Sus scrofa: one gene and its partners. The protein of the gene in region 1 binds, or shares a complex with, the protein of each later gene. Links are inferred from orthologs where the notes say so. Each region holds a gene or a part of one and is shown in the gene's direction. Other genes may lie near its edges. The genes, in order: KL, FGFR4, FGF23 and FGFR3.

Region 1 (4,283 bases):
CCAATTTGGACCCCTAGCCCGGAGAACTTCTATATGATGCTTAAAAAGAAACAAACCAAAAAAAAGAATGGATGTATTTCTATGAGGATCTTATTCATTACAGATGCAGGTGTGCCAGGATTGAGGCACATCGTATTAGAGAGAAAGGCGAAGATATCTGCAAGAGCTAATACATTTGTTGGGGCTTTCCACGTTTGAGTTCTCTGTGTGCACATCTTTTTTCATGTAAGCATCACAAGCCTCTAAGTTGGCAGGACAGACAGGCCATCTCCATTTTACAGATAGGATCCCAAGGCTTGGAGAGATTGTCCCTCCCAAGATCACAGAGGTGAAACCCGGACTCCACTCCTCTCCAGTTATTCACAGATCAGGTAAACACACTCAAAGGAGACACTGGGTCGCCACCATTTCTGTCTTCGGTAACCGGAAAAACGTCATTACTCTATTTTGATGTAGAGGGTGCTTGGGCTAAATCCCTCCTCCCTTTTCCCTTCACTGATCTGGTAGCCTGTGCGAGACCAGGGGGCTTCCTGAACCGGAGCTGAAAGCTAAAATGTGATTACTCAAAAAACAGATGCAAAGGGGTCGCAGAGGTGGATGATAGTTACAAACCTGTCTCTCTCTCTCTCTCCCTCCCCCCCCCCCAAGGACATTCACAACTGTCATTTGAAGTTTACCATTTCCGCAAGATGGAATTAGAGAACAAGTGGTCTGAGACCATTAAAAGATAACAGTAGGAGGGAGAGGAAAGCAAAGGCCATCGCAAGTCATGCATCTCCTTTGTCTTCCTCGAAAGCACCCTAGACTGGGCCCCACAGGACTTGCGATTCAGGCTGCGCGAGTCGAGTGGGTCTTCACGGGAGCATTGTCCCTGAAAAGACCTCAAGAGAAAATCCACCCCCAGTCCTTCTCTCCAAACATTGCAAGTTCCGACCTGGCCCTTCCTGCCCTGACCTCCCAGTACAATCTCCGCCAGTTCCCAACCGGCTCTAGTAAATGTCAGTCACTCGAAGAGAAAGCAGGTGCTTCCCTGCGGGAGGACCCGGAGAGGTCAGGCAAAGATCCTGCGCCCACCTCGGGAAAGTTGGGTGGCCGCCTTCCTTCGACGCGCCTCGGCTCGGCGGCTTCCTCCAGGAGGGTGCGCGGGTGGTATGTAGAAGGCGGCGCGCAGGGAACTCTCCTCGCTGAACCATCCCTAGCGGCCCCTGGGAGCCGGGAGGAACAGGTGCTTTTTCTCCGACGTCCGGGAGCGGCGCCTGCGGCACCTAGCCAGCTATCGCGCCCGGGTCGCCGGCGCCCGCTCGCCCTTTGCGCCCCCGCCCCCCAACCCAGGGCGGGGGGAGGCGCGGGGCCCCAGGTAATTATTGCCAGCAGGGCCCGCCGGGGAAGCGGGGGTGGGCGCGCCGGCGGGGGGCGGGCGGCGCGGGCATAAAGGGGCGCGGCGCCCCAGCGCCCGGCTCCCGCGCAGCATGCCCGCCCGCGCCCCGCCGCGCCGCCCGTGGCCGCCGCTGCCGCTGCCGCTGCTGCTGCTGGCCCTGAGCGGCCGCTGCCTGCGCGCCGAGCCCGGCGACGGCGCGCAGACCTGGGCCCGCTTCGCGCGCCCTCCGGCCCCTGAGGCTGCGGGGCTCCTGCACGACACCTTCCCCGACGGCTTCCTCTGGGCCGTGGGCAGCGCCGCCTACCAGACGGAGGGCGGCTGGCGGCAACACGGCAAGGGCGCGTCCATCTGGGACACTTTCACCCACCGCCCCGCTGCGCCCCTCAGCGGCCCCCCAGGAGCGGGCCTGCCGTCGGGCGTCCCGTCGCCGACCCTGCCCGCCACGGGGGACGTGGCCAGCGACAGCTACAACAACGTCTTCCGGGACACGGAGGGGCTGCGCGAACTCGGGGTCACTCACTACCGATTCTCCATCTCGTGGGCGCGGGTGCTCCCCACTGGCATCGCCAGCGCCCCCAACCGCGAGGGGCTGCGCTACTACCGGCGTCTGCTGGAGCGGTTGCGGGAGCTGGGCGTGCAGCCTGTGGTGACCCTGTACCACTGGGACCTGCCCCAGCGCTTGCAGGACACCTACGGAGGCTGGGCCAACCGCGCTCTAGCCGACCACTTCAGGGATTACGCTGAGCTGTGCTTCCGCCACTTCGGCGGCCAGGTCAAGTACTGGATCACCATTGACAACCCCTACGTGGTGGCCTGGCATGGCTATGCCACCGGGCGCCTGGCCCCCGGCGTCCGGGGCGGCCCGCAGCTTGGGTACTTGGTGGCGCACAACCTTCTCCTGGTGAGTTCGAGGGGCCACGCTGGGGAGAGGGCCGCAGGAGACGCCAGGGGGCTAGAGGAGTGGCTGAGCCTCCAGTCAGAGGAGGCTCCGTTTGAGCACATCTGTGAGGTCACCTGGGATTCACACCGGGGAGGATGGGAATGGCGGCTTGAGCATCTCGGGCTTCCCCGGAAGGCTTGGAGTTGAAATGGGAGGGAAGCCCTGCAGTTGGTGTCTGAATGAGTGCCCTTTTGAGCCCATTGTCAAAAAGAAATTGGAACCAGTTTCTCCTGTGAGAAAAGGGAGCTCCTTTCTCTGTGGGTAGAGATATTCCTAGAGGTAGGGTGCGGGAGGGCTAGGAGCAGCCACAGGGAGCATGAGGAGCACGGAGGAAAGAAACCAGTTTGTTCAGAAGTCACAGAGATAGCTTTACTCTCTGCTACAGTTTGTGGAAATGTCTGAGTTCAGTTTCAATCCAATAAAATCTATCTTGCTTGTGGCATAAATTCATGCTGCAGAGAATTTGAAGGTGTCAAAATCGCATCTCTTGCACAGCAGAGATGTGATTTGTCTTTGGAAGTTCTTTCTGTAGCAGGACTGAGAACTGCATCCCCCAGCCTTGCTTAATCAGCAGGGGTATGTATCACTCCTTATATAATCTTAAACAAAGCTACCCATAAAATGCAAAAACAATTACAGGGTGATACAGATTGGGTCCTACAACAACTGTATTTCCACGACGCTCTCTCCAGTTGGAAGGATTCCTCAGGGATGAGATTATTAGCCTGACAAAATTGATTTTTAACACCTTGTGCAAAAGGCTTAATAAATTTTGACAGCAGGAAGAATTGATGTGCCATGATAAAGCTGTCTCCCAAATAATTCTTCCTCCTTTTCCTCCTTTACTTAGTGCTCAAGATTAGATCTCATTGATTTGAGGGTTCATTTATAATGTCAGTTATTGGCACACTTTGTACAGAGATTTGTATGATGAGAGACTATTTTATATATATAGTGAAAGTGTTCAAATGTATAACTTTTGGCACCATATTTAGGTGATTTGTAGGCCAACTGGAAGATCTATTTTTAAGTTTAGAATTAAGCAACATACTTTGAACAAATTCAAGATGAAGACCACTGCTACACACTTTTAATTGAAGCCGTAGATAATTGAAGCAGAGCAGTACTGGGCTATCGAGTTGACTTACTGCCTGGAGCTGCTGGTAATGTTGTAATAGTGGCTAATTAGATTGTATGTCAGCTCCACAAAACCTGTTTGCTACCACAGATCATAAAAGAATGTGGGATTTGTTTGACAAAAAATTTGTGATTTTAGTGATTCCATATTGATAGATATTTTTCATTAAGATACTTTAGACCAGTGATAATCAACTTTTTCAGTCTGTTAATTCTTTTAAGGAATCAGAAGACTCCAAATAGTACCTGTTCATGGTTGGTCATAGAAAAACTGTGGGAAAAGCTGGCCCCTCTTTTGAAGAAAATACAAGCAAATTTCAGTTTATACCATAAACAAGAGATTTGTGGACCAAGTGAAGGACCTAATAGGCCACTCCTGCAAAGTCACTACTTTATATTTAAATCAAATGAGTTCTATTTTTAAATGCATGTAATAAGCCCTATGGATATAAAATTATCAATTGTTATTATAGACACTTCCAGGATTGTTCCATGAACAAGATAGGATTTGGGACTACAGGAGCTTTCTAGTACTCTGGTATTTTAAATAGTCAACATGCTTTTGATTCTTGTGCCCACTCTTGGTCTTTTGATTAACTTCCCAGTTATATTTTTGTATCCTTACACAAAACCTTGCCAAACACTAACTATTCTTCCCAGAAATGCAGTGAACTTTGTGTTCATAAGAAATTAGTCACTGGTGGACAGTTGGTTTTGCTGATGCTGCAAACAAAACTATTGTTGCTGTAAAATATTAATTTTGCTTTCACATTTCTTTGGTTTGGAGTGTAGTCATTCTTGCATCTTCTGAAGTAAGTTGTCATGATC
Region 2 (4,311 bases), on another chromosome or scaffold:
ATGAGGCCAGGGATCGAATGCCCAACCTCATGGATACTAGTTGTGTTCCCTTTCTGCTGAGCCACAAACTCCTCCTACTTTTAGTTTTTTGAGAAACCTCTATACCATTTTCCACAGTGGCTGCACAACTTTACATTCCCACCAACAGTGTATGAGGAAAACATGTCTGCTTTTGGTGACAACTTCTTGAGGATGATACTGTCATTCTACCTGTTTTACTGATGAGGAAATCAAGACACAGGGATGGAGTAACTTGATAAGTCCATGTGTGAAGGTGCTGAGCTTTGAGTCCTGCAATTTTTGCTCTGAATTACTTCACTCCCTTCTCACTACCCATGCTCACAGGAGCAAAGACCTGGAAGAGGAACCTGACAAATTTAAAGGGTTTCTCTGAGGAAGTGAGATGAAACCTAAGAATGAGATGGAACTAACCAGATCTAGAGGGAAAGATCACTCCAGGAAGAGGAACTATATTTGCAAAGGCCCGGAGGTAGCGGTGGGAGCAAGGAGGAAGTGAATGAAGACTTTATCTGAAGATGTGGGTGGGCCAGGTCAGGCCAAGAATCTCTATAGGAAGTTCTTGGAAAGTTTTAAAGCGGTGGCTGTGGTTGATACAGTCGTATTTTCTTTTCTTTTCTTTTTCTTTTGTCTTTTTAGGGCTGCACCCACAGCATACGGAGGTTCCCAGGCTAGGTGTCAAATGGGAGCTACAGCAGCCACAGCAACCTGAGATCCTAGCCACATCTGCGACCTACACCAGAACTTGAGGCAACGCTAGATCCTTAACACACTGAGCAAGGGCAGCGATACAACTCCTGTCCTCATGGATATTAAGTCAGGTTACTGTTATGGCTGGGCTATAATAGGAACTCCCATATTTGTATTTTAAATATCACTCTGGGAGTTCTCTTGTGGCACAACGGGTTAAGGATCCTGCGTTGTCACTGCAGTGACTTGGGTCGCTGCTGTGGCATGGATTCGATCCCTGGACCAGGAATTTCCACAGGCCGGAGGCGGCCAAAAAGGAAAAAAAATCACTCTGAAAGTTGTTCAGAGAACGGATGGGGGTACAAGCTGGGTAGGTCTACTAGCTACTGTATGACAATTGCGCAGAAGACAAAGGAGCCAGACTAAGCCAGAGTCTACGGAAATGGCGGGTCAGGACTGCTGGGTCTTGTCCCCAGAGGGATGAAGTGCAGGAGGTGGAGCAATGGACTAGAACTTGGAAGCCTGGCCTGGGTGAGGCAAATAAAGGCAGAATCGGAAGGGATGTGCCAGCTAGGATTGCCCCCCCGCCCCCCCCGTTCCCCCGCCCCGTAGGCCGCGGGGCGCTGATGGGTTCGAGGACTGGTCTCCAGGTGGGCGGGACGCTATGCCACCCGCTGTCAGGAGCTGGTCCAGGAGGGGCCAGGCCCGAGATGGGCGGGGCACTGGGCTGTTCCCGGCCCAGTCTCTGTCAGGACAGAGCTGGTCCAGGAGGGGAGGAGCCCAAAGTAGGCGAAACTCGAGGTGGGCGGGGCGCTGGGCCGCCCCGCGGCCACGCCGCTGTCGCGGGTGCATTCCTGGCTCTCCCGCCCGGGGCTGAGCAGCTCCCGGGCTGAGCCTGCCATCCCCGCTGGGCGCAGGGGTCGGGGCTGGTGGAAGCTGGGAGCCGGGCTGCAGAGGACCCAGGTGAGTCGGAACCCTGTGCTGGAAGCGGGTCCACGGAGGTTCGAGGTGAGCCGGGACCAGGCTGCGCTCCCAGCCGCCAGGGGGCGAGCGGCGGCGGGACTGGGAGCTGACCCCTCCCAGCACTGAGGACCTAGGCGTCCGCTCAGCCGGTGGGGGGGCGGGGGGGGTTGATGGGGACGGTAAATCAGTAACCCGCAGCGCACACAGGGCCTTTTGTCCCGCTCTGTCCAAAGAGCACCCGGGCCGCGGAGCTGGTTACTCATTGCCCACCGGGGCGGGGGCGGGCCGGCTGTCTCTGCAGCTCTCCTTCAGGACCCGTGACTGGCATTTGCCCCCAGCGAGGCTGGGTTGGGGTGGAGGAGGAAGAGCGCCCTGGTCCCTCTGTCCCCGACCGTGTGCGGGCTCCGAGTAGAGATAAGGAGGCTGTGGCTCTGAGAGGTGCAGTCATTTGTCCAGGGTCCCCCAGCGCTTGGGTGCGAGAGGCTGGAGAACACAAGACTACTTGTGCCAGAGTCAGGCCCTTCGGCCCCACGTGCTGGGCCGTCGGTCAGCGGCCCCTTGTGACCCGACTAAGGTTCTGAGGTCAGGGTAGCCTGGGGGTGGGATAAAAATCCCTGGGCCTCCCACTCCACTCCCAACCTAGAGAGCCGCCCTTTCTGCAGAGCAGAGCAGGGTGAGGGGATTTCACAGAGGAAGGGCAATGGAAGCCAGTGATGGGCACAGAGATAGTGGAAATTGTGTCTTCTGAGCTATGTGGAAAAGAGAAATGGGGAGCATGGAGGTATAGGCAAGAGAGAAGACGTGCAGTTTTGAAAACTAATGGTTTAACAGTACTGAAGTAGCAGAATGTGCAGCCAAAGATAGGGACAAGGGCATGGAGGGAGGCCTAGGATGCTGGATAAACAGTGTGGACTGGGTCCTGCTGCACATAGACAGCCATTAAGGGCTTGTAAGCTGGGGTGGGACAGACTTTTTTTTTTTTTTTTAATCAGCTTGATGTGGGATCTCAGTTCCCAGACTAGGGATTGAACTCTGGACCACACTGGTGAAAAGCACAGAGTCCTAACCACTAGGACACCAGGGAACTTCCCAGACTTGTCATTTTTGAAGCCCTGCTGGAGAACCCAGAGAGATGTTTGCAAAGGTCCAAGCTAGAGATGACCGTGGCATGCTCTAGATTCAAGCAGGGGAAGAGGGATGGACTGGAGAGGCGTTTGGAAAGTGATGCCCCAGTTGGAGGCAACTCAGGGAAGGAGCAGTTTGAAGCGGGAGATAATAACTTTGGCCAGGACACACCGAGTGCCACTTGCCTCAGAAGCAGAGCTGAAGAGGGAAAAGAGGCTAAGTAGAGAGGGTGCGATGGGACTCCTGGGCAAGGTAGATCCAGAAACACCAGCACCACCTGTTACCCAGCCCCAAGTGATAGCTGGTAGGCCCCTGGAACTACACTGGTCACCCTCTTCCTTTGCCCTGGCTGAGGTTCGGTTTTGAGTGTTCCTCTTGGGGGATGGAGACATCCTTGGTAGCATTTGGAGGAGGGTAATTGGATGGGGTGTGTGTGTGTACATCACACTTGAGGTGAGTAGCACCACAGAGAGAGGTGACTTCCCTGGCCAAGGGCAGACCCAGGGTGACAATCATGGGGAGGCAGATGGAGAAGAGAACATTCCAACATTATGTGTGCCCACCTCCTACATACATTCTCTTTTATCCTCAAAGTAGTCCTGGGAGGAGAGTGGCCCAGAGAGGGACAGGGACTTGCAAGTTGGTAAGAGTCAGGATTTGATCCTGGCTCTGTCAGACACTAGAGTGTACATCCTTTACAAGAGCTTGTGTTGCCTCAGATGGAGTTGTGGAAGCACAGAAAACAGAAGTATCTCCAGAATGCAGTTTTGGTTCAGAGTGTGAAAGAACTTCTGAGAGTTCCCTGGTGGCTCAGAGGGTTAAGGATTCAGCATTGCTGCTGCTCTGGCTTAGCTTTGATCCCTGATCCGGAAACTTCTGCATGCCTTGCAGGAGAGAGGACTTCTTTTGTAGTTTAGTGGGTTAAGAACCCGACATATTGAGTGTCGGCAAGGATGCAGGTTTGATCCCTGGCCTTGCTTAGTAGATTAAGAGTCTGCTGTTGCCACAAGCTGCAGCATAGGTCACAGATGCAGCTCGGATCCGGTGTTGCTATGGCTGTGGCCCCTAGCCCTGGATTTAACCCCTAGCCCAGGAACTTTCATATGCCACAGGTGTGGCCTTAAAAGGGGCGGGGGGGAGGAGTTCCTGTCATGGCTCAGCGGTAACAAACCTGACTATAGTATGCAGGAGGACTTGGGTTTGATCCGTAACCTCACTCAGTGGGTTAAGGATCTGGCTTTGTTGTGAGCTGTGGTGTAGGCCTGCAGCTGTAGCTCTGATTCGACCCCTAGCCTGGGAATTTCCATATGCCATGGGTGTGGCCCTAAAAAGACAAAAAAAAAAAAGAGAGAGAGCTTCCACTTGCCATAAAACGTACTGCCTTGTTAGTAGTGAGTGCCCTGCCACTGGAGGTGTCCAAAGCTGGTCATGGAAATGTCAGCAATGCGCTAAAGAGTGGGGATCAGATCAGATAACATCCAGATGCTGATATTTGGCCTTGTATTATATTTCAGA
Region 3 (4,100 bases), on another chromosome or scaffold:
AGTCCCAGGAGCTAGGCATCCTATAGACACTGATTATGGGGACCCCTGGACTGCAGCTGTGCTGCTGGGACCTACCTTCCCAGGCTCTGCTCTCTGTGCTCAGTCAGCAGACTTCCCATTTTCATGAGGTCTCTGAATTGAGTGGTGCTAGGCAGTACAAATTAGGTGAAGCACGCCATCAAGCCAAAGATTGTCATAAAGCAGCCGTGACTTCGAGGCCTTTCTTCTTTACTCCCATCTTGAAATCTTCCCAAGGTGGCGACTTTGGTGCCTTGGGGGGGTCTCCCATATCTTCAGAGGAGGAGGCCTCGGAGGACACCATTGCCTGATGCTGTCCTGGGTTATGGCAGTATCCCTTGAAACACTCACCTAGTGGAGTTCCTGCTGTGGTGCAGTGGATTGAGAACCCAACTGCAGCGCCTCCGGTCTCTGTAGAGGCATAGGTTCAATCCCCAGCCCAGTGCAGTAGGTTAAATGATCTGTCATTGCTGCAGCTGTGGTGTATGTTTCAGCTGTGGCTCAGATTCTGTCGCTGACCTGGGAACCTCCGTATGCCACAGGTTTGGCCATAAAAATAAAAAAACAGGAGTATCTGTTGTGGTGCAATGGAAACGAATCCAACGAGGAACTATGAGGTTGCGGGTTTGACTCCTGGCCTCACCCAGTGGGTTAAGAATCCAGCGTGGCCATGAGCTGTGGTGTATGTAGGTCACAGTCTTGGCTTGGATCCGGCATTGCTGTGGCTGTGGCATAGACCAGCAGCTGTAGTTCTGATTTGACCCCTAGCCTGGGAACCTCCATATGCCGCAGGTGCGGCCTAAAAAGCCAAAAAAAAAAAAGGAGGGAAAAAATTAAAAAAACAAAAATCAAACAAAAAAAACCCCCCACACCCACCCAGTGCTGTGTACAGAGAAAGCTCTGGATGCACAGATCTTGATTGGAATTAAACAGACTGAGAAAACCAAAATGAGTGACTTGATGGGAGATTAATTACACAGGCGTCTGTCGACTACATGACCGAAGCTGGATTTTTTTCAGAACCGTGGGCTGCCTTCACATTTCCTGGTGGAAGTGAGGCGGGTCAGCGGACAACCCAGAGTCGTAGATAACTTTTGCCCACACATCATTCACTTTTTGGAGCATTGGCTTGAAACGTGTGTGTGTGTGTGTGTGTGTGTGTGTGTGTGTGTGTGGAACCGAAGTGCCTTCCGTGAGCCTCAAAGGTCCCTGTATTCTCTTCAAATGGGCTGATTACAACACAGAGGATGTGGACAGCGGAGTTTTTCCTGTTTGATGTCACAGTGCTACCCTTTAAAAGTCCGAGGGAAAAAAGGAGGGAATGCAGCCTGGGAGCCTCAGGCCAGAAACCGGTGAGGAAGAGAAATAGGTCTGCAAGGTCTCCAAGGAGCTGGGGAGGCAGGGTCAGATTTCAAATTCCGCGCCAGCCAGTCAGAGAGCGGCGATGCTGGGGGCCCGCCTCGGGCTCTGGGTCTGCACCCTGTGCTGTGCGGCCAGAGCCTATCCCGACACCTCCCCGCTGCTGAGCTCTGGCTGGGGCGGCCTGACCCACCTGTACACGGCCACGGCCAGGAACAGCTACCACCTGCAGATCCACAAGGATGGCCACGTGGATGGCTCACCCCAACAGACCATCTACAGTGAGTGGGGGTGCCGTCTGGGCTGGGAAGAAGGGGGGCTCCTCTGCGCACCCACTTGCAGGGACTTGGGAAGACTCTGGCTGGACCAGAGGGCTAATCCAGCCTCCTGGCTTCTTGTCCAGGATTCGTGTGAGTGTGTGTGTGTGTGTGTGTCTGTGTATTTAAACCTTGGGAGAAAATTCTGCCACCTCCTCAAACTCCCTAATATACCGGTTTCTCCCAACAAGAATAATTCCCATCTCAATTAAAATCTGTCTGCGCACGATAGCAGCCAGTTTCTCGTTGCCCTGTCCAAAGAATTAAAAAATGTCCAAAACATAGGCACGGAGGCTGGGAGGGAAAGAAGCCAGATCAGTCCGTAGACACTGAGTTTTGGCTCACGACTCGGTTAGCCGTGGAGGTTGTGAAGAAGATTCCCAAGGTTTGGAATGGATGAACCCAGGGGGCTCTTTCCAACCCCGAGCTTCCAGCCTTATAAAAGATCTCAGGAAAATGCATGAAAGACAGACTGTCTAGGAAGGAGGGTTTGATGCACCTGCCCCAGTGCATCCACACAGCCATCCCTGGGCTCATGCATCCCGCAGGTTTACTCGGGGCTTCAGCGGTACCCAGTATCGTATGAGCTAGTGAGTCTTCTCTGTGGAGCTGAAGGGTCCACTCAGCAGCAAATGAAACTGGCTGAGAACTCACTGAAAACATGAACACAACCAGAATGCCTTTAAAGATTAGGTCTGTGGAAAGTTGGATCACAACAGTCAGCCAGTTATAGCTGTGCTTCAGATATCTCCAGAAGGGACAATGGGGTGATGGCAAGACAAATTGAAAAAGACAAGGTCTTCTGTTTTAGGAGAACTTGTAAAAATTACTCTAAGGATGTAGAAAAAATGCCAACTGATTCCAAATAGGTCTGAGTAAAGGAATGAGAGAGTAATCATAGTCGCTTTAATCAAAGCCAATTTCTTATAGAATAATGGCTTGCCCTTTGTTGTTGTACTAAATTATTCAGTCATCCTGCCGCAGCCGTGCTGTATGCAAGACATTCATTCGGCCAAGAGTCAAAGGTCCGTAAACCTGGTAGCAAGATAGAAGCACATGCTTAGTTCAGAACCTCTTCAAATTCTCCACGGGTGATGACAGGAGATGAAGGGAAGGAGGAGGGTCTCCCAAATACCAAACAGGCTCCCGAACTCAGGGGAGGACAGTAGGACTCGGGAGTCAACATCTTGGAAGCCAAGTTTGAGTCCCATGGCGAGAATCTGAAAGAAATCTGGATACAGTTGACCTATCCAAATTATCGCTCGTTTTATTCAATGGCTATTTAGCACAACCTCCAGTGTGTCCGATATTATGCAAAGCCGTGTGACTTCAAAAGAAGCCCTGGCCTTTCCAACACCTCTAGACTTTCATCACTTCGGGTCTCTCAGCTCATTATCCGATTTTTAAGAAAAAGCAAATTTGCACCTCTCCTGGAGGGCCCCCTTTACTTCAAGATAAGAGGTGATTTAAAATGCAGGATAGTAGATTATGGTATTTTGATTCCCACAGATGGAAAAGGCTGCAGACAAGTAGAGAATGCTTGTAAAACTTATCTAGAATCATAGAATCCCTTTGATGAAAGGAGACTCCCAAGACACGTCCTGGGTGGGGGTTGTGAGTGGTGCCAGGAGGGGGATGGGCTCAGACGACTGAGCTTACGGCACCACTCCCGGAACTTGCCCTCCTGTATCCACCGACCTCAGCCCCCAGGAGGCACAGAGCACTAGTTGGAATGAATTAAAAAGACTGAGAGGACGCCAAGGGACTTGAACTGACTTTGGATTTCTTTTCTTCACAGAAATGTGCTTTTGTTCTGTCCAATATAGACCCTCACTAAAGCGTTGTGTCTCTGACAATTAACAAACGTGGGTGGGGACTGGGTGGGGATGGGTGGAAGGAAGACACGTTTTCTAGTTTATATAACCTTTTATACTATTCAAAACGGTTATCATAAGCATTATATAGCTATAATATATATAATTATATATTATTATATAATATATGTACATTGAGATTAAAACTTACCCAAAAAGGAATATATAATTATATATATAAGATTAAAAGTTACTAAAAAAGGAATATATATAATTATATATTACATAATATATAATTATACATTATATGTAATTATATATTATATAATTCCACATTATATATATATTATAGATGTATATATATATTACTTATACATTAAGATTAAAAGTTACCACTTATAAAGGAAGGAAGAAACACTGACGTGTGCAGCTAGGTGGCACAACTAAGTAACAGGCTGGAGAAGGATTTGTAATGACCTCTGTAAAGCGTGCAAAGCAATGCTCTTCCATAGACGTTAAGGTGTGAGGTGCTTTTTTCCCTCTCCTAATTAATTATACATTTCCAGTGAAATGTGTTTCATTTGATTATTGT
Region 4 (3,212 bases), on another chromosome or scaffold:
CGGGCACCGACTACTCCTTCGACACCTGCAGGCTGCCCGAGGAGCAGCTCACCTTCAAGGACCTGGTGTCCTGTGCCTACCAGGTGGCGCGGGGCATGGAGTACCTGGCCTCACAGAAGGTGAGCGGGGGGCCGGCCGGGGCGGGCGGGGGCAGAGCGGCCGCCGCCCGGAGGCCTCAGCCCCCGCCCCGCCCCCAGTGCATCCACAGGGACCTGGCAGCCCGCAACGTGCTGGTGACGGAGGACAACGTGATGAAGATCGCGGACTTCGGCCTGGCCCGCGACGTGCACAACCTCGACTACTACAAAAAGACCACCAACGTGAGTCCGGCCCGCGGGGCGGGGCGCAGGGCTCGAGCCCGAGGGCGCCTGGGAGCCAACACCCCCCTTCCTCCCCCAGGGCCGGCTGCCCGTGAAGTGGATGGCACCCGAGGCCTTGTTCGACCGCGTCTACACCCACCAGAGTGATGTGTACGTGCCCCCAGCCCTGCGGGGGGAGGGGGGCGTCGGTCCAGGCCCCTCCAGGGCAGGGGCGGGGAAGCCGTGGGGGCAGAGCCAGCCCCCCGCCCTCGGCAGCGTCTGTTCTGGGGCAGCGGGCCGCAGGGCAGGCTGACGTGCGGGTCCCCCCCACAGCTGGTCCTTCGGGGTTCTGCTGTGGGAGATCTTCACGCTGGGGGGCTCGCCGTACCCCGGCATCCCCGTGGAGGAGCTCTTCAAGCTGCTGAAGGAAGGCCACCGCATGGACAAGCCGGCCAACTGCACACACGACCTGTGAGTGCGCGGCCCCGGCCGCTGCTGGGGGGGGCGGGGGCGGGCACCGGGCGGGGCCGGACCTGAGTGCCGCCCGCAGGTACATGATCATGCGGGAGTGCTGGCACGCCGCGCCCTCCCAGAGGCCCACCTTCAAGCAGCTGGTGGAGGACCTGGACCGCGTCCTCACGGTGACGTCCACCGACGTGAGTGCTGGTCCCGCCCCCGGGGGGGAGGGCGGGGGGGGGGGCGGCACTGACCCGCCCCGCCCCCGCCCGCAGGAGTACCTGGACCTGTCGGTGCCCTTCGAGCAGTACTCGCCGGGCGGCCAGGACACGCCCAGCTCCAGCTCCTCAGGCGACGACTCGGTGTTTGCCCACGACCTGCTGCCTCCGGCCCCACCCAGCGGCGGGGGCTCGCGGACGTGAAGGGTCGCAGGCGGCGGGCGGGCCGAGCCCCCATCAATGTGAGAGCGGACCCCAGCCCACCGTGCGGCTGCCACGGGGTGACCACGCGTCCCACCGGCCAGACCCAGACGGGTCCGGGTGGGCGGACAGACGGCTTTGTGGGTGTGCGTGCACACGCGTGTGCGCAGGGGTCCCTGGGGTGCCTGCCCTGCTGGACAGTGACCTCCCGGCCACCTGTGCCAGCAGCACTGGGGACCGAATGTAGAATGCAAGGGGCTCCTCAGGGCAGGGAGCTGGGCCCCCCACTCCCTTTCCCCCCACTGCCGCCCCACAGGGCATGTCGGGGTGGGCCGAGCCCCCTCCAAGTGCCCAAGCTGAGCCTACCGGTAAGGGCCCCCCGTGACACACCTCCTACCCCAGTGGCACCTGCGCCCGGGGTGCGTGAGCGGCCCCCACCTCCAGGCCTCCCCACCTCCCCGCTGCCCCTCAGAGACTGAAATTACGGGTACCTGAAGGCAGGAGCCTTCAACTTCTATCCGAAAGGTTTATTTCAGAGATGAGTGTACATTTATATGCATAGATGCTGTGTATATGGTATATACACATACGTATATATATAAATACCTATATGGGAGGAGGACGCTGGTACAACTGAGGCGCGGGACCCTGAGGGCGCAGGCGGCGGAGGGGCTCTACTCGGGGAGGGCCCCTGGGGGTCTCACTATGGAAACAGATGCAGAAACCAGCAGAGGATGGAGGGGCTTCTCTGGCACCGCGTTTGGTTGTAAAGATTGTACCTGGACCTGTATATTTGTAAAGCTATTTATGGACCCCCCCCCCCCAGAGCCCGTGTCCCTGTTGCTCCCCGGGCTCCTAGTGCTTAGCTGGCCGTGTGGCAGAGGTTTAAGTTTTAACTTATTAACAGTGAGAAGGTTTATGCTTCGTTTAGGGGGGTGGCTGAGGATGCGTCCAGCACACCATCCGCGGCCGGAGCCGGCCCCCGGCCCCCTGAAGGGGGGAGAGTAGTTTGAGGTGATGCCAGGGAGGCTGTTTGATTTCCTTTGGCCTTCTTTTGCAGGAGACATAGATGTCTATAGGATTTTCTTTAGGAGATTTATTTTTTTGAACTTCAAAGCAAGCTGGTATTTTCATACAAGTTCTAATTGCCATGTGATCCAGGCAGGGAGGCAGGTTCCGCGGGGGCCAGCCCTGCGTACAGGCTCAGATGTTATTAGATATTACGAGTTTATATATATCTATATATATAATTTATTGAGTTTTTACAAGATGTATTTGCTGTAGATTTAACACTTCTTATGCAATGCTTCTGGACTTTTATAGCCCGCACTACCTTTCAGAGCTTGGAAGAGAAAGCTGCAATTTCCGTTTCATTACTCTTTGTACCGGTAACAGCCTTGCGTTTGGACGGATGTTTTCTGTCGCGGGCTGGGGTAGGGCTCTGTTCTCATGGCCCCCAGCCTCGTGGGGGCCAAAGGTGTTGGCCCAAACTGGCAGACGTGCCTTCCGAAGAAAATAAACAGACAACTGGTTCAGATCCGTGCTTAACTTATCTCCTGTCCTGGAATCCGGACAGCTCCCATGTCCTCCCTGCCCAGCTGGGGCAAGTTCTGTCATCTGCCCGCCTCCCCCCTGCCACCATCCCCCCTCCCCGTCCCCCGAGGAGGGAGGGAGCCCTAGTTGCTGCTGGAGCAGTGGTGGGGCGGGGGCTGTGAACTGGACAGGCTGCCTGGGCCTCGTGTTCTCCAGGGGTGTCTAGCCTAGGTCTCCGGCTTGGACAGGATGCGTCCAAGCCCCGCCACATCGCGCCCCCCTCTTACCTGCCTTCCCAGTCAGTGGGGAGGGAGCGGTTTCTCCATGGGGCAACCCCCCCCCAACAGAGCCCCGTGGACACCCCTGGTCCCTTGATTCAAGTGTCTGCACTACTGGCCACAGTCCTGCTCCTGGCCAGCTTCCCTCCCTCCCACAGGCCAGGCACCCCCCTTGGGCCCCTCCAGTGCCCCCCCCCCTTGCTACCACAGGCCCAGTGACAAGATCT

The links.
Region 2: the proteins of KL (region 1) and FGFR4 are in contact, whole or in part, in a cryo-EM structure (PDB 7YSW), measured with the Homo sapiens proteins. The link is inferred for Sus scrofa from reciprocal best matches to the Homo sapiens genes KL and FGFR4. Residues at the interface, in NP_004786.2 of Homo sapiens: Ser539, Gln540, Phe541, Thr542, Asp543, Asn545, Val546, Tyr547, Leu548, Trp549, Asp550, Val551, His553, Ser554, Lys555, Arg556, Leu557, Ile558, Val563, Thr565, Arg568, Tyr571, Val573, Ala576, Gln579, Pro580, Glu625, Arg628; in NP_001341913.1 of Homo sapiens: Asp266, Gln282, Leu284, His286, Ile287, Ile289, Gly295, Ala296, Asp297, Gly298, Phe299, Pro300, Tyr301, Val302, Gln303, Val304, Leu305, Lys306, Asn311, Ser312, Glu314, Leu318, Tyr319, Leu320, Arg321, Asn322, Asp327, Thr332, Leu334, Leu341.
Region 3: the proteins of KL (region 1) and FGF23 are in contact, whole or in part, in a cryo-EM structure (PDB 7YSH), measured with the Homo sapiens proteins. The link is inferred for Sus scrofa from reciprocal best matches to the Homo sapiens genes KL and FGF23. Residues at the interface, in NP_004786.2 of Homo sapiens: Phe377, Lys385, Leu389, Glu390, Pro392, Trp417, Phe418, Ser420, Lys429, Tyr432, Tyr433, Lys436, Phe437, Arg468, Ser471, Ile472, Arg556, Arg693, Asn694, Met695, Thr696, Tyr697, Ile735, Val752, Phe755, Asp756, Asn782, Asn783, Leu785, Ile812; in NP_065689.1 of Homo sapiens: Leu39, Met74, Ala80, Val88, Arg91, Leu166, Ile167, Phe169, Asn170, Ile173, Arg175, His177, Asp184, Ser185, Glu186, Arg187, Asp188, Pro189, Leu190, Asn191, Val192, Leu193, Lys194, Pro195, Arg196, Ala197, Arg198, Met199, Thr200, Pro201.
Region 4: the proteins of KL (region 1) and FGFR3 are in contact, whole or in part, in a cryo-EM structure (PDB 7YSU), measured with the Homo sapiens proteins. The link is inferred for Sus scrofa from reciprocal best matches to the Homo sapiens genes KL and FGFR3. Residues at the interface, in NP_004786.2 of Homo sapiens: Ser539, Gln540, Phe541, Thr542, Asp543, Asn545, Val546, Tyr547, Leu548, Trp549, Asp550, Val551, Ser554, Lys555, Arg556, Leu557, Val563, Lys566, Arg568, Tyr571, Val573, Ala576, Pro580; in NP_000133.1 of Homo sapiens: Gln286, Leu288, His290, Val291, Val293, Gly299, Thr303, Pro304, Tyr305, Val306, Thr307, Val308, Leu309, Lys310, Glu320, Leu324, Ser325, Leu326, His327, Asn328, Val329, Glu332, Asp333, Thr338, Leu340, Phe347, His349.

Annotation. Positions count from the first base shown.
Region 1 is NC_010453.5:9,425,767-9,430,049, forward strand, and holds the start of KL (klotho), read left to right. Parts: upstream 1-1,469; coding exon 1,470-2,279; intron 2,280-4,283. UniProt on the Homo sapiens protein: May have weak glycosidase activity towards glucuronylated steroids. However, it lacks essential active site Glu residues at positions 239 and 872, suggesting it may be inactive as a glycosidase in vivo.
Region 2 is NC_010444.4:80,850,981-80,855,291, reverse strand, and holds the start of FGFR4 (fibroblast growth factor receptor 4), read left to right. Parts: upstream 1-1,500; 5' UTR 1,501-1,671; intron 1,672-4,311. UniProt on the Homo sapiens protein: Tyrosine-protein kinase that acts as a cell-surface receptor for fibroblast growth factors and plays a role in the regulation of cell proliferation, differentiation and migration, and in regulation of lipid metabolism, bile acid biosynthesis, glucose uptake, vitamin D metabolism and phosphate homeostasis.
Region 3 is NC_010447.5:66,027,314-66,031,413, forward strand, and holds the start of FGF23 (fibroblast growth factor 23), read left to right. Parts: upstream 1-1,277; 5' UTR 1,278-1,462; coding exon 1,463-1,658; intron 1,659-4,100. UniProt on the Homo sapiens protein: Regulator of phosphate homeostasis. Inhibits renal tubular phosphate transport by reducing SLC34A1 levels. Up-regulates EGR1 expression in the presence of KL. Acts directly on the parathyroid to decrease PTH secretion. Regulator of vitamin-D metabolism.
Region 4 is NC_010450.4:892,258-895,469, forward strand, and holds the end of FGFR3 (fibroblast growth factor receptor 3), read left to right. Parts: coding exon 1-119; intron 120-197; coding exon 198-320; intron 321-399; coding exon 400-470; intron 471-632; coding exon 633-770; intron 771-849; coding exon 850-955; intron 956-1,030; coding exon 1,031-1,177; 3' UTR 1,178-2,709; downstream 2,710-3,212.